Diceros bicornis minor: one gene and its partners. The protein of the gene in region 3 purifies or fractionates together with the protein of the main gene of each other region. This does not show direct contact. Links are inferred from orthologs where the notes say so. Each region holds a gene or a part of one and is shown on either strand. Other genes may lie near its edges.

Region 1 (3,745 bases), on a different chromosome or scaffold from region 3:
TCTAGCAGATATCATTTTATGTATCGTGATTAAGTACTATACAGGAAAACAGGGCTATACTAGAGAATAAGTAGAAAGACGCTCTTTTAGGTCGTGTGGGCAGGAAAGGCTTCTCTTACGAGGGATATCTAATCAGAAAGACCTGCCTGGCATCAACGAGCGGCAATAGATGAGTCTGGGACTTTGGAAGGTTTGTGAGGCCAGGGTAAGGAGTTGGGAAAGTATTTAACTGCAGTGGGAAGTAAATGCTGCATTTCCAGCAAGGGAGTGATACAATTTTGCGTTTTAAAAAGATCGTAGAGGCAGCACAGAAAGCAGGGAGACTATTTAGGAGGCACCGATGGTTCCCTGGACTTGGGGTAATTGTGGTTATTGATTTGCGCGACAGGGTAGCTGAGGGTGTCATTCTGCAACAGAACAACGATGACTGCAGAGCGGTTAGAGGACCACAGAGTATTTAAAGGAAAAACAAATCACGGTTTTCAGGGCGTCTTGCTGTGAACCGCCGGAACCAGGGCCGGACACGCTCCCGATCTGGAAATGTTCGGCCGGAGTCTGAGGTACCGGACAGCCCGAGAGCTGACCTCCGGTCCTGCCCTCCTTTTTTGGTACCATCAGATGCAGAGTGTCCGGGACCGACTGGGGCCCCGCCCTGGCCCAGAAGAACGCGGGAAACATCAGGCAGTGTAGAGGCTAACCTTCAGAACTAAGCCTCTGCCGCCTCATTCAAGCCCCGCCACTAGGGTGGCTGCGTACTTGCCACCGCGCAAAGCCACCCCACGCCGCTGAATAGCCCCACTCCCGGAAGTGCAGCCTACCCAGGCTCACTTCCGCTTTCCCAGTCGTCTGCCCTTCTCGCGAGAACTGGAAGAGCCTATGTGACCTGCGCTAAGCGGAAGTTGGGCCTCTTTTTCGTGGCGCCTCGGAGGCGTTCGGCTGCTTCAGCATGAAGGTAGGCAGTGGCGGGGGGCGTTGAATTAGGCTCGGGGAAAGTGAATCGAGTTCGAGAACACGGCATTGCCGCAGTCCTACGTCTCCAAAATCCTGGCTCTAGCTGGGGAAGGGTCTGAGGCAGGACAAGCCTCGCCCTTCTGGGGCCAGAGCTCTTTGGGAAAGCGGATGGCGAGCGATTGCTGCTGGAGCTGCGGCGCCCGGCAGCGCAAGCTATGGTGGCGTCCTGGCACCCTGCCGGGACAGATGCGGCTCTGCTGCCCGGGTGGCGGCCCCCGGGTCGGCCTCCTTGCTCCGAGAGGGTGAAGGCTGCGGAGCGCCTGTGGCCCGCGGAATCATTCCGCGAGGCTTGAGGAAAGACTTCCCAATTGGAGTGCGGCGCTCGTTGCGCGCTGTTGCGTACACATGTGCTTTAGAGAATAAAATGGACATCTCAGATTTTCTGCTGGTTGTGTGGGGGTGACATGAAAAGCTTTTTGCATTAGGATTGTCTTTGTTGGTGGCTCTGCGGTTTTCATAAAGCTGTTTTTTCCCCCGTTTAATCCTTAGCTGAACATCTCTTTCCCAGCCACTGGCTGCCAGAAACTCATTGAAGTGGACGATGAACGCAAACTTCGTACATTTTATGAGAAGCGTATGGCCACAGAAGTTGCTGCTGACGCTCTGGGTGAAGAGTGGAAGGTAAAAATTGAGTACAGCATTGAGTTGTTGGAACTAGTTGAGAGATGGTAAACGCTGTTGATAATTGGGGTGTGTAATGGGTTTCAGACTCAGGGTTCTGTCTTCTGATCTTGGGTTAGTGACTTCTAAATGTCACTTTATAAGGTTGAGCTGTCACCTGGCAGGGTTATGTAGATCACATGGGAAAATATACCTGAAGTTCTTGTCCTGCAAGCTAATGGTCTCCGAAGGGTATCTTGAATTAAAAGTGCCAAGAAGGGTTGTTTGTGATTTGTTGCTCGTTGGTCCTTTGGTTTTTTAACGTAGTCTTTCTCCCCCTGGAGCTGTTACCGCTGGTAAAGCAAAGGCTAGGAATATGACTTGATTGGAAGGAATTTGCTAATTGAGCTTGGCAAATTGGAAATGTAGATAAAACTTAGTGGCCAGAGAATATTAAGAAGTTTCAAATCGGTCTTAATTAACTGTACTTCCTAGAATTGAGGGGTACACCTTCGTAGAGGCCACAGTCCTTTATTTTATAACGTGTCATTGTATTCTCCTGCAGGGTTATGTGGTCCGGATCAGTGGTGGGAACGACAAGCAGGGTTTCCCTATGAAGCAGGGTGTCTTGACCCATGGCCGTGTCCGCCTGCTATTGAGTAAGGGGCATTCCTGTTACAGACCGAGGAGGACTGGAGAAAGAAAGCGCAAATCTGTTCGGGGTTGCATTGTGGATGCCAACCTGAGTGTTCTCAACTTGGTCATTGTAAAAAAAGGTGAGGGTTGCTTGTGTTCTTGAGTTCAATTTTTGTTGACATTGATTTAAAGTTGATTGTCCGAGTGCTTTTTCATTTGCAGTATCCACAGTTTGACCAATGGACTTTTACCAGTGCATAAACAATAAATTAGAGTTCTTGTTTGTGAGGAAGTTGTTGAATTAAAATGTCTTTGTTCACTTGTCTCTTTTAGGGGAGAAGGACATTCCTGGACTCACTGATACTACTGTGCCTCGTCGGCTGGGGCCCAAAAGAGCTAGCAGAATCCGCAAACTTTTCAATCTCTCTAAAGAGGATGATGTCCGCCAGTATGTTGTGAGAAAGCCCCTAAACAAAGAAGGTAAGGGAGATTCTGCAATCTTAATGTCAGTAAGTTAACGCTGGCTTAATTTCAGTAATTTGGCACTAGCATTTTGTGTGCATATTAGATGATAAAATCTGTGCCCACTCTTTATTTACCTGGAGTCTGAGTTTTCAGGAAATTATTGGGGAAGAGTGTCAAGATATGCAGTTGGTGTTAATCCTTGTTACATCCAGTGCCCTCTTATATTTTCCTTGAAAATGTGCCTGTGAGTCAATTGATGTGTAAGTCTACCCAAAGATAACTTACCAGACATTAAGATCTTGCTTTTGAATTAGTGGAAAGAATGATAGAAAATTCTGGGACTATGATTGAATGTGCTCTCACTCCCACACACTTTTGCTTTTTCTTTGCATAGCAGTCTTTCCATAGCAGAAGTTCTAATTTTTTTGTTTTTTCTTTATAAAAGAAATACGTGCTTTCATCAACTGAAGTTGCTTTAACTTCTGGCCCTTGTTTTCTTCATCTGTAGGATGCGAGTAGCGATAGTAAGAGTTGTGAGAATTAGAAATTAGAAAAATATTTTATTAAAAACACTAGGGAACAGGTGTTTGGGATTTTGGAGTTTTATATTTTAAGACGGTATAATGTTTATTAAGCAACATAACCCATCACCAGTGAAGTCTTTGGCAGCAATGCTCTGTAACATTGATATTTCTGTAGTGAAATGTATGAATATTTACAGTAAATAGAATAAATAGCACGTCAGTTCAGGTTGGGTTCTCCTGACAAATCTGAAAAAATTTGAGTTTTGGTTTTCAGGACTGGGGACTTAAACCTATACCTAGCCTATACTAAGTGCTCATTGGTTACTCATTCCAAATATTTGGACACCTATGTGCCAGGTGCTATTTTAAGTGTTGATACGGTATGAACACACGAATTACTTTCCTCTTGAAGTTTACATTTAAAAAAAATAATTGGCAAATATATGGTAGTTCCCCATAATCAGACCCCTGGCAGTACCATACATCAGTGTAGTAAGGTGCTAGTTGAT
Region 2 (3,745 bases), on a different chromosome or scaffold from region 3:
CAAAATCTCTATTATAGGCTTCCCCAGAACTCTAACCCAGATATCTCAACAGGATAGCCTACTTACCATGGTCAGCACGCACAGTAAAGGAACCCCCAGCAGAAGACTCCCAGGCATACTGCTCATCATCATTGTGCTTTGTGATCACAACCACTTTCTCTGCCACCAGGTAAGCAGAATAAAAACCAACACCAAATTGTCCAATCATGGAAATGTCTGCACCAGCCTGCCAAAGTTAAAAAGTTAAACACAAATTTTGAAGAAATAGCAAGCTAAAGAACACTGATAATGAGGAATTGTGCCTGCCTAGCTAAAATATCACATACCTGAAGAGCCTCCATAAATGCTTTAGTACCAGACTTGGCAATGGTTCCCAAATTATTTATGAGATCAGCTTTGGTCATACCAATGCCTGTGTCCACCAGTGTCAGGGTGCGTTCCTGGGGGTTGGGGATGATGTCAATTTTCAACTCTTTACCACTGTCCAACTTGGAAGGGTCTGTCAGGCTCTCATAGCGAATCTTGTCCAAGGCCTGAAAACATAAATTGCAACTTACAATTCTGCTTTCCTAAAGCCCTTCCCTTCATCCAAAAGAAAACTTTTTCCATTTTTACTCCCAAATAGCCTCAATTCTGATTATCCCTTGACATTTAAGAACCAGTTACAGTTACAATATCTTCTCTATCGAAGTGGAACAAGGCAAACCCTTTTGTAACTGCAGCAGATTTATCCCCTTCAATAGCAGGCCCTACAAAATACCAAACCACCCCCTCTTCCCTTTTCTGGAGTGCTAAAAAAAACAACACCCAAGACAACGCTCTGAGCACTCACATCAGACGCATTACTGATCAACTCCCGAAGGAAAATTTCCTTGTTTGAATAGAAGGTATTGATGATGAGAGACATGAGCTGCGCAATTTCCGCCTGAAAGGCGAAAGTCTCCACCTCCTCCTCTCCATGGTGCACTTCCTCAGGCATCTAAAATAAGAATGGTCAAGGATTACTAAAGAACACCATGATCTCAAATTTAAGACTCCTCAAGTTCACCCCAGTCACAATGAAGATGAAGAGATTTAGTTCAAACTGCTTTGAGCTGCCTGGTATCCATTCTCAAGAGACTGAAGACCCTTTCCTTCAAAAGATTTCAGGCTGCACCCTCAGCGGGAAACCAATTGGGAGAACAGAAAAACCAACATGTTCAACAAAATATGAGGTCAGGTCTTTTGGAAAGTATCTTGGATCCAAACTACTCTAAGTGGTCCATGGACCAGAAGCCTCAGCATCACCTAGGAGCTTTGTTAGAACTGTAAGACTACACCTAATGCAGATTATCTTGAACGAGAGAGAGTCCCAGATAATCCACACGCACCTTTCAATGTGGAAATCACTAACTACAATTGTATTACCTTTTTTGACATGGCAAAAAAAACCCAACGTGACTACTTTTAAAACGGCAATGATTTGAAACTGCTCTCCCACTAGATTATCTCCTACGTCGAGGGAAAGTGACATTGCAGCCTCACACACTAGAGGAGGATAACCCCTAAGATGAGTGGGATACCCGCCCAGGGTGCTATTAAGACAAAGAACCGATAAAGCAAAAGCTCCATCGCGACACCTCAACACATGTGACCAAAGTAGAGTGCCAAACCAAACACAACTAAGATGGTGGCCGTGGTCCACCAGGCCGACCCTCGTCACTGCCGGACATGCGTCGGCCGGGGACACACGAGGAGGGGGCGCCGCCGCGCAGCCTCCCTTCGCCCCAGCATCCGAGCACCAGGGCGGGGCGCCGGGCTCCAGAAGCTTCCAGAACAATCTCAGCTCTCGGAGAGGGGCGGGGGAGCAAAGAGCCCATTAATCTCCCAGAGCCTGCCCCCTCCCCTCCTCCTCCACCAGGACTGCAAGAAAGATCTGGAAGGAGAAAGCACGACGGGCCACAAGAGATCGAAAGCGTTCCTCGTCGCGGACCCTCACATGAAGGAACCGACTAGACTTGAAAAACGCGTCTCATACAAGAGGTGGCAAAACCAGGCCAGCACCAGGCCGAGCTGAGTCACGCCGAGCGCGCACACCCACGACCCTTGCGGACCCTCCGGCGCCCCGTAGTCGCGTCCGGAAGTGGAGGAGCAAACATGGCAGCGTCCCGGGCCGGCGCGGCCACCACGTGCAGCTGCCCACTACCCAGCCCCACGCCGAGGCCCATCTCGCCCGTAGATAGTCGCCGCCTGAGAGAAGGCCTGCCACCCAAGCATAGGAGAAAAACATGCCAACCTCGAGGGGTCCCTCCCACCCACTTCCGAGAGAAATCAGGAGGAGTGGTATCCTAAAGGCCGCCCCAGTGAAGAAAATTAGGCCTTTGGAAAGGACGGGGGGACGAAAGCAACTCGAAAGAGGGCTCAAGACAGAAACGCCGGAAGGAGAAAACCGCGGCCTTACCTTAACGGGGAAGGATGGCAAAGACTACAGGAGCAAGGTGGGCAGACTGTGGCCGGCTCACACGCCACAACGGGCCTGCGAGGGGGTGACTCAAGAGAGCGGTTGTGCGCCCCTAGTCGCTCTATATAAGGCGAAGCACAGCCCAGCTGCCCGCCCCCGGATCCCTCCGCTCTAAAGGAGGATGCCTGTCAGCCCCGCACCTGCCGCCGCCCGCCTACCTTGACGTCATGGTCCAAAGTAGCGGTGGGGGCGGTGAAAGGCGAGAGCAGCTGTCCTTGGTGTGCATGTAGAGCGTACGCGTCTCAGCGCTTCCAAGGCATGACCCCACCTGAGCTAGAGATTGAGAATGCTCATGTGACATAAGCGGTGGATCTAGGGGCCAGCGTCCCACTGACCTCCCTAAAGATCTGTGGGGCAAGGACACCCAAGAGTCCCGCCTTCGAGGGACACCTAACAACAGGGGTGGAGGCGGCCAACCACTCCGACCTCCGTTCCCAGGCTCGACCTCTCTCCTAGAATCTGCCCTACGCATTCCTACATCCCGATAAGGGGGAGGGGTTTTCTCCGGGGACGGTGCGGAAATCGAGGCCCAGCTATGGGCAGCCCCGGGGTCCCGGCCCTCTCGGGGACAGGGGAAAAGACCGGCGTTTCGCTACGAGGTGTGGCTCTGGCTGGGGGAGGGGCGCCGGCCTAGGCTGGCGGGGGACTCTTTGCCCGCGCGCGGCGGAAGGAGCGACGACGGCGGTACTGCGATTACTTCCAGCAGTTTCCAGGCCCGCCTCGGAGGCCCCGCCTCCTCCCCGCCCGTTCCCTCGAGGCTCCGCCCCGCCCGCTGCGGCGTGTGCTGCGGCTCCGCCCCGCGACCGTTCTGCCATGGTTCCCGGGGAGGTAAAGGGTACCCCAATTCCTTTTACTGTTAGGTCCAGTCGGAAGGCGGGACCCTCTTCCCCACCCACCAGGCTTAGCTACCCGGGACGGGCTCGTGGCGGGGATGGAGCGTAGAGGGAATGGTTGCTCGACCCCTCCTCTCCCCGTCAATCACACAGCACACTGGCTGTTGGGGCGGCTCTGCGGGCGCCGCCTTCAGCAAGCCGAGACCGGGAACGGGGCCGCTACCGGAGGGACCCTCCCCAGCCTCTGCAGCCGCCCACTCGTGTGGAACGCAGAGACTTGCGTCTTCCCTACACAAGCACATCTAGCTGTTTCTCAGAATTGTTTCGTTTTTTTCGCCTTCTTCCCTCCTGCAGCTGCCTAGACTTGGGGAGGGCAGGGTCTCCAGGGATCCCTGCAGGGTGGCAGAGGCTC
Region 3 (3,745 bases):
GGTGGTTACCTTGGGCTAGGGGGGTGGGATGGGGGCACAAGGGGTGGAGGGATGCACTTATATGGTGACTGATAAACAATAATGTACAACAAAAATTTCACAATTGGGCCAGCCCTGTGGCATAGCGGTTAAGTGCGTGCACTCCGCTGCTGGTGGCCCGGGTTCGGATCCCGGGCACACACCGACGCACCGCTTCTCCGGCCATGCTGAGGCTGCGTCCCACATACAGCAACTAGAAGGATGTGCAGCTATGACATACAACTATCTACTGGGGCTTTGGGGGGGAAAAAAAAGGAGGAGGATTGGCAATAGATGTTAGCTCAGAGCCGGTCTTCCTCAGCAAAAAGAGAGGATGATTAGCATGGATGTTAGCTCAGGGCTGATCTTCCTCACAAAAAAAAAAATTCACAATAAAAAACAAAGATCAGGTGTGCAGGAGGGAGAGTGGCCAGGCAAAGGCCTCTCCGAGAAAGTCTCCTTGAGATGTGAATGTTAACCGGGCAAGGAGAAGGTGGAAAGGAATCTCTGGAAAAGGGATCGGCCAGGGTAAAGACCTGAGATGGGAGAGTGCCTAGCATGTTGGAAGAACAGCAAGGGGACCAGTGTGGGTGAAGTGAAGTGAAGGGAAGGGAAGCAAATGACAGGGAGGACTGGCTGATGAGGTCACCAAGATGATGTGGAGCCAGATCACATGGAACCTTAGAGGCCAGGATGAAGAATTTGGACTTTACCTTCAGAGGAATGGTCTGCCCTTGAAGGATTTTAAGAAAGAAAACATCACCTAGTACATATTTTTTTAGGCTGTTGTGTGGAGAACAGACAGCAGGGGTGAGGCTGGAAGCAGGGGACCAGTGAGGAAGCCTCTGCAAGTCTAGGTGAGTGATGATGATGGTGGCAGTGGAGGTGGTAAGGAGACATCAGATACTGAATACATTTCAAACACAGAGCCCAAAGAATTTCTGATGGATTACAACATGTGTGAGCGAATAGGAGGTATTATTCTTCTGTTTCAGCACAAACGTCCCTTCTTCATGGAAGCCTCTGGGAACCCTGGATGCTAGTTTAGGGTCCTCTATTAAACACTCCCGAATCCTCTGGTCTTAAGTCCTCCTTCATTAAACACCTCACACTGCTGTTGGCTGTTTAATGATCTGCTCTCCCATTCCCCTGTCAGCTCCTTGAGAAGGGACTCCGTCTTGTCTGACATGTTTGTATCACCAACTCCTGGCACACAGTAGGCACTCAATAAATGTTTGTTGGCTAAAGGAAAAGAACCTTTTCAAGCCTGAGCCCCATCTCCCTAAATCACCTGCTTCCAGTCTCTAGGCTAGTGTAAGAAAGGATTAATTCTTGCTAACAGGCTCTAAGTGTGTATATCTGTGTGGTTTGGGGACGGCCTGGAGAAGCCAGCCTCACCTGTCATCCCAGAGGCAGTGAAAATCATTTAGCTGCTCATCGAACACCAAGCCAGTGCCAGACAGTGTCTTGGCCTCAAGGTTCAGATCCTGCAGGGAAAAAAATGGGAGACACCGATGGATTTAGACCCTAAGTCAGAGGGAACATCCCATACTGTCCAGGATGGAGAACCTCAGGGTTTTGATGGTCACAGGAGGCTAAATTGCGGCCAGGCCCCTCTCACCAGCCCTTGTAGCCCCATGATTAGGTCTTGCTCGGCTGCTTGGCTGAGCTTCTTCATTCTGCCTTTCTTCTTTACCTCCGCTAGATTGGGGCTGGAGCGGAGTGTGGCACCCTTCTTAACACCTCTCTTCTGCCAAACAGAGAAAAGGGTCAGAGTCCAGTGCACGGCCCACTGCTTCCCCTCTCCCTCATCAGGGCAGGTCTGGGGCCTCACCGAGGTGACGCCGGAGTCATGGGGTGGTGAGTGGGGACTGTGCCTACTCCTTCGCTGCCTGGTTGTGGTGGAATCCTGGCCGGTGGAGGTCATGGTCGGGGGGACTTCGCCCCTGACGAGTTTCTGGGGGTGGGGTGGAGGTGACTGTGAAGGGGCTAGAGTGCCCTGAGGACCCCATATCCCAGCCCATTCCCAGGCCCCGCCCCCTATACCAGTTTCCATCTCTTAGGCTATCCTATTCCCCACCGCCTTCTAAACTCTGCCTCTCTCAAGGCCCTCTTCCTCCACTGAGGTGTCCATTCCACCTGGTCCCGCCCATTCCACTAGGCTCCACCCCTCTAATTCTTTCCCCTTTCAAAGTCTTGCCATTTCACTGAGCAATTAACGCCCAGGCTCAGTCCGTTCTAGGGCCTGTACTTTCCAGCTAATCACGGCCCCTTCCGCTCTACCAAGCCCCATTCCCAGACTCTTTCATTCCTCTAAGCCTCGCCCATACCCCACCCCTTCACAAACCTGCCCTTTCCAGTCAATCTCCCGGGATAATCACCCACCCTTTCACTCAGCCAGACCCAGGCCCGGCCCCGACTCCACCCTTAACGATCCACTTAACTCCACCCCTTATCTGGCCGGACCGGCACCTTTCACTTGGCCAGATCCCGCCCCTAACGTTTCAACAAGCCCTACTCCTCAGGGGACTTCCCCTTTCCTTCCAGCAGGCCCCACCCCCTTGCCCAAACCCTACCCCTAACGCGTCACCAAGCCCCTTCAGCCAGTTCGGAGCCGCCTCCCGCCAGCCCCCTCCCCCTTCGCGGCCCCGCCGTCGACGCTGACCAATCGCCTCGGCTCCACTTACTGGGCGCAGCCCCTTTCTCAAACTCCGCCCTTGGCTCCCGCCGCCAAATTCCCGGCGACCTGTGGGGCCGCGAGTGCCTGAGGTCTTCTTTTCCATTGGGCCGGGTCTCTCTACTGCCCGCCCTGATCCCGCCCACACCGGTGTTCGTGCCACAGGGCCGCGCCCCTCGTGTGGGCCGCGCCTTTCGCGGGCTCACAAACAGCGGGTCAGTACGTCAGCGCGCGACGCGGGACGTGCTGCGCCTGCGTGAAGCGCGCGCCGGCCGTTCGACGCCGCGCTCAGGCTCAAGCTTGCCCCTCCCCCAACCACCTCAGCTGTTGTCCTGGCTGTTGTGGCCGCTGTCTGTCTGTGCCTGTCCAGCCACCTGAGGAGTCCTCCGGGCCCGCGCCACCTGCCGTGCAATGAGTCAGGAGAGAAAGCAAGCAAGCGGGAGAGTTAGGAAGAGGCGTCTTTTCTCCTCCCCGCGGCTTCCCGCGCGGCGCGCCGTGATGACGTAGCGCGGGCGGGCCGGCCTCTTGGCCGGGAGCGCGGTTGAAACTGGACAATGGCTATTGGCAGCCAAAATGGGATTGGTGATGATCATAAATGTGAGGATTTTCTGAGTTAATATATTCTTTAAGGTAGTACACAGGAAGCACTCACCAAGTGTTAGCTATTAATATTCTACCGCGAAAATGGATAGTGAGGCGGAAGGAGTCTTAGTAGGGGCGAGTAATTGTAATGATAGAAAGTGTTGTGTGGTAGGCGTTGTCGTAAGCCACAATTCTGTGAGGTAGTTCCCATTATTAAGGCTGCTTTGCAGATAAGGAAACTGAGGTTCCGCGACTTAGCCATGTGACCTTGGGCAAGTTACTGAACATCTCTGCTTCAGTTTCCTCATCTGGAAAATTGTGATAATAATAGTGCCTGGGGCCAGAATGGACTCCAGGAGGGGAGTATTTCTTGGGCAGTAGCTCTCCCTGCCAGCCCCCTCCACCGGGTAACCTCTGCTCTCAAGCTGTAATAGAAAGTATGTGCCTGGGGGGTATGGGGAGTTGCCC

The links.
Region 1: the proteins of HDAC6 (region 3) and RPS6 purify together in Homo sapiens (affinity purification with mass spectrometry; 3 studies listed by BioGRID, with this or other methods). This does not show direct contact. The link is inferred for Diceros bicornis minor from reciprocal best matches to the Homo sapiens genes HDAC6 and RPS6.
Region 2: the proteins of HDAC6 (region 3) and HSP90AB1 purify together in Homo sapiens (affinity purification with mass spectrometry, with the first as the bait; 4 studies listed by BioGRID). This does not show direct contact. The link is inferred for Diceros bicornis minor from reciprocal best matches to the Homo sapiens genes HDAC6 and HSP90AB1.

Annotation. Positions count from the first base shown.
Region 1 is NC_080761.1:41,585,190-41,588,934, reverse strand, and holds the start of RPS6 (small ribosomal subunit protein eS6), read left to right. Parts: upstream 1-879; 5' UTR 880-946; coding exon 947-952; intron 953-1,000; exon of another isoform or gene 1,001-1,119; coding exon of another isoform or gene 1,120-1,122; intron 1,123-1,500; coding exon 1,501-1,632; intron 1,633-2,176; coding exon 2,177-2,387; intron 2,388-2,580; coding exon 2,581-2,727; intron 2,728-3,745. UniProt on the Homo sapiens protein: Component of the 40S small ribosomal subunit. Plays an important role in controlling cell growth and proliferation through the selective translation of particular classes of mRNA.
Region 2 is NC_080753.1:21,618,256-21,622,000, forward strand, and holds the start of HSP90AB1 (heat shock protein HSP 90-beta), read right to left. Parts: upstream 2,537-3,745; 5' UTR 2,441-2,536; intron 980-2,440; coding exon 833-979; intron 534-832; coding exon 327-533; intron 227-326; coding exon 67-226; intron 1-66. UniProt on the Homo sapiens protein: Molecular chaperone that promotes the maturation, structural maintenance and proper regulation of specific target proteins involved for instance in cell cycle control and signal transduction. Undergoes a functional cycle linked to its ATPase activity.
Region 3 is NC_080781.1:42,093,847-42,097,591, reverse strand, and holds the start of HDAC6 (histone deacetylase 6), read right to left. Parts: upstream 2,982-3,745; 5' UTR 2,802-2,981; coding exon 2,706-2,801; intron 2,507-2,705; exon of another isoform or gene 2,366-2,506; intron 2,292-2,365; exon of another isoform or gene 2,065-2,291; intron 1,976-2,064; coding exon 1,853-1,975; intron 1,769-1,852; coding exon 1,640-1,768; intron 1,506-1,639; coding exon 1,417-1,505; intron 1-1,416.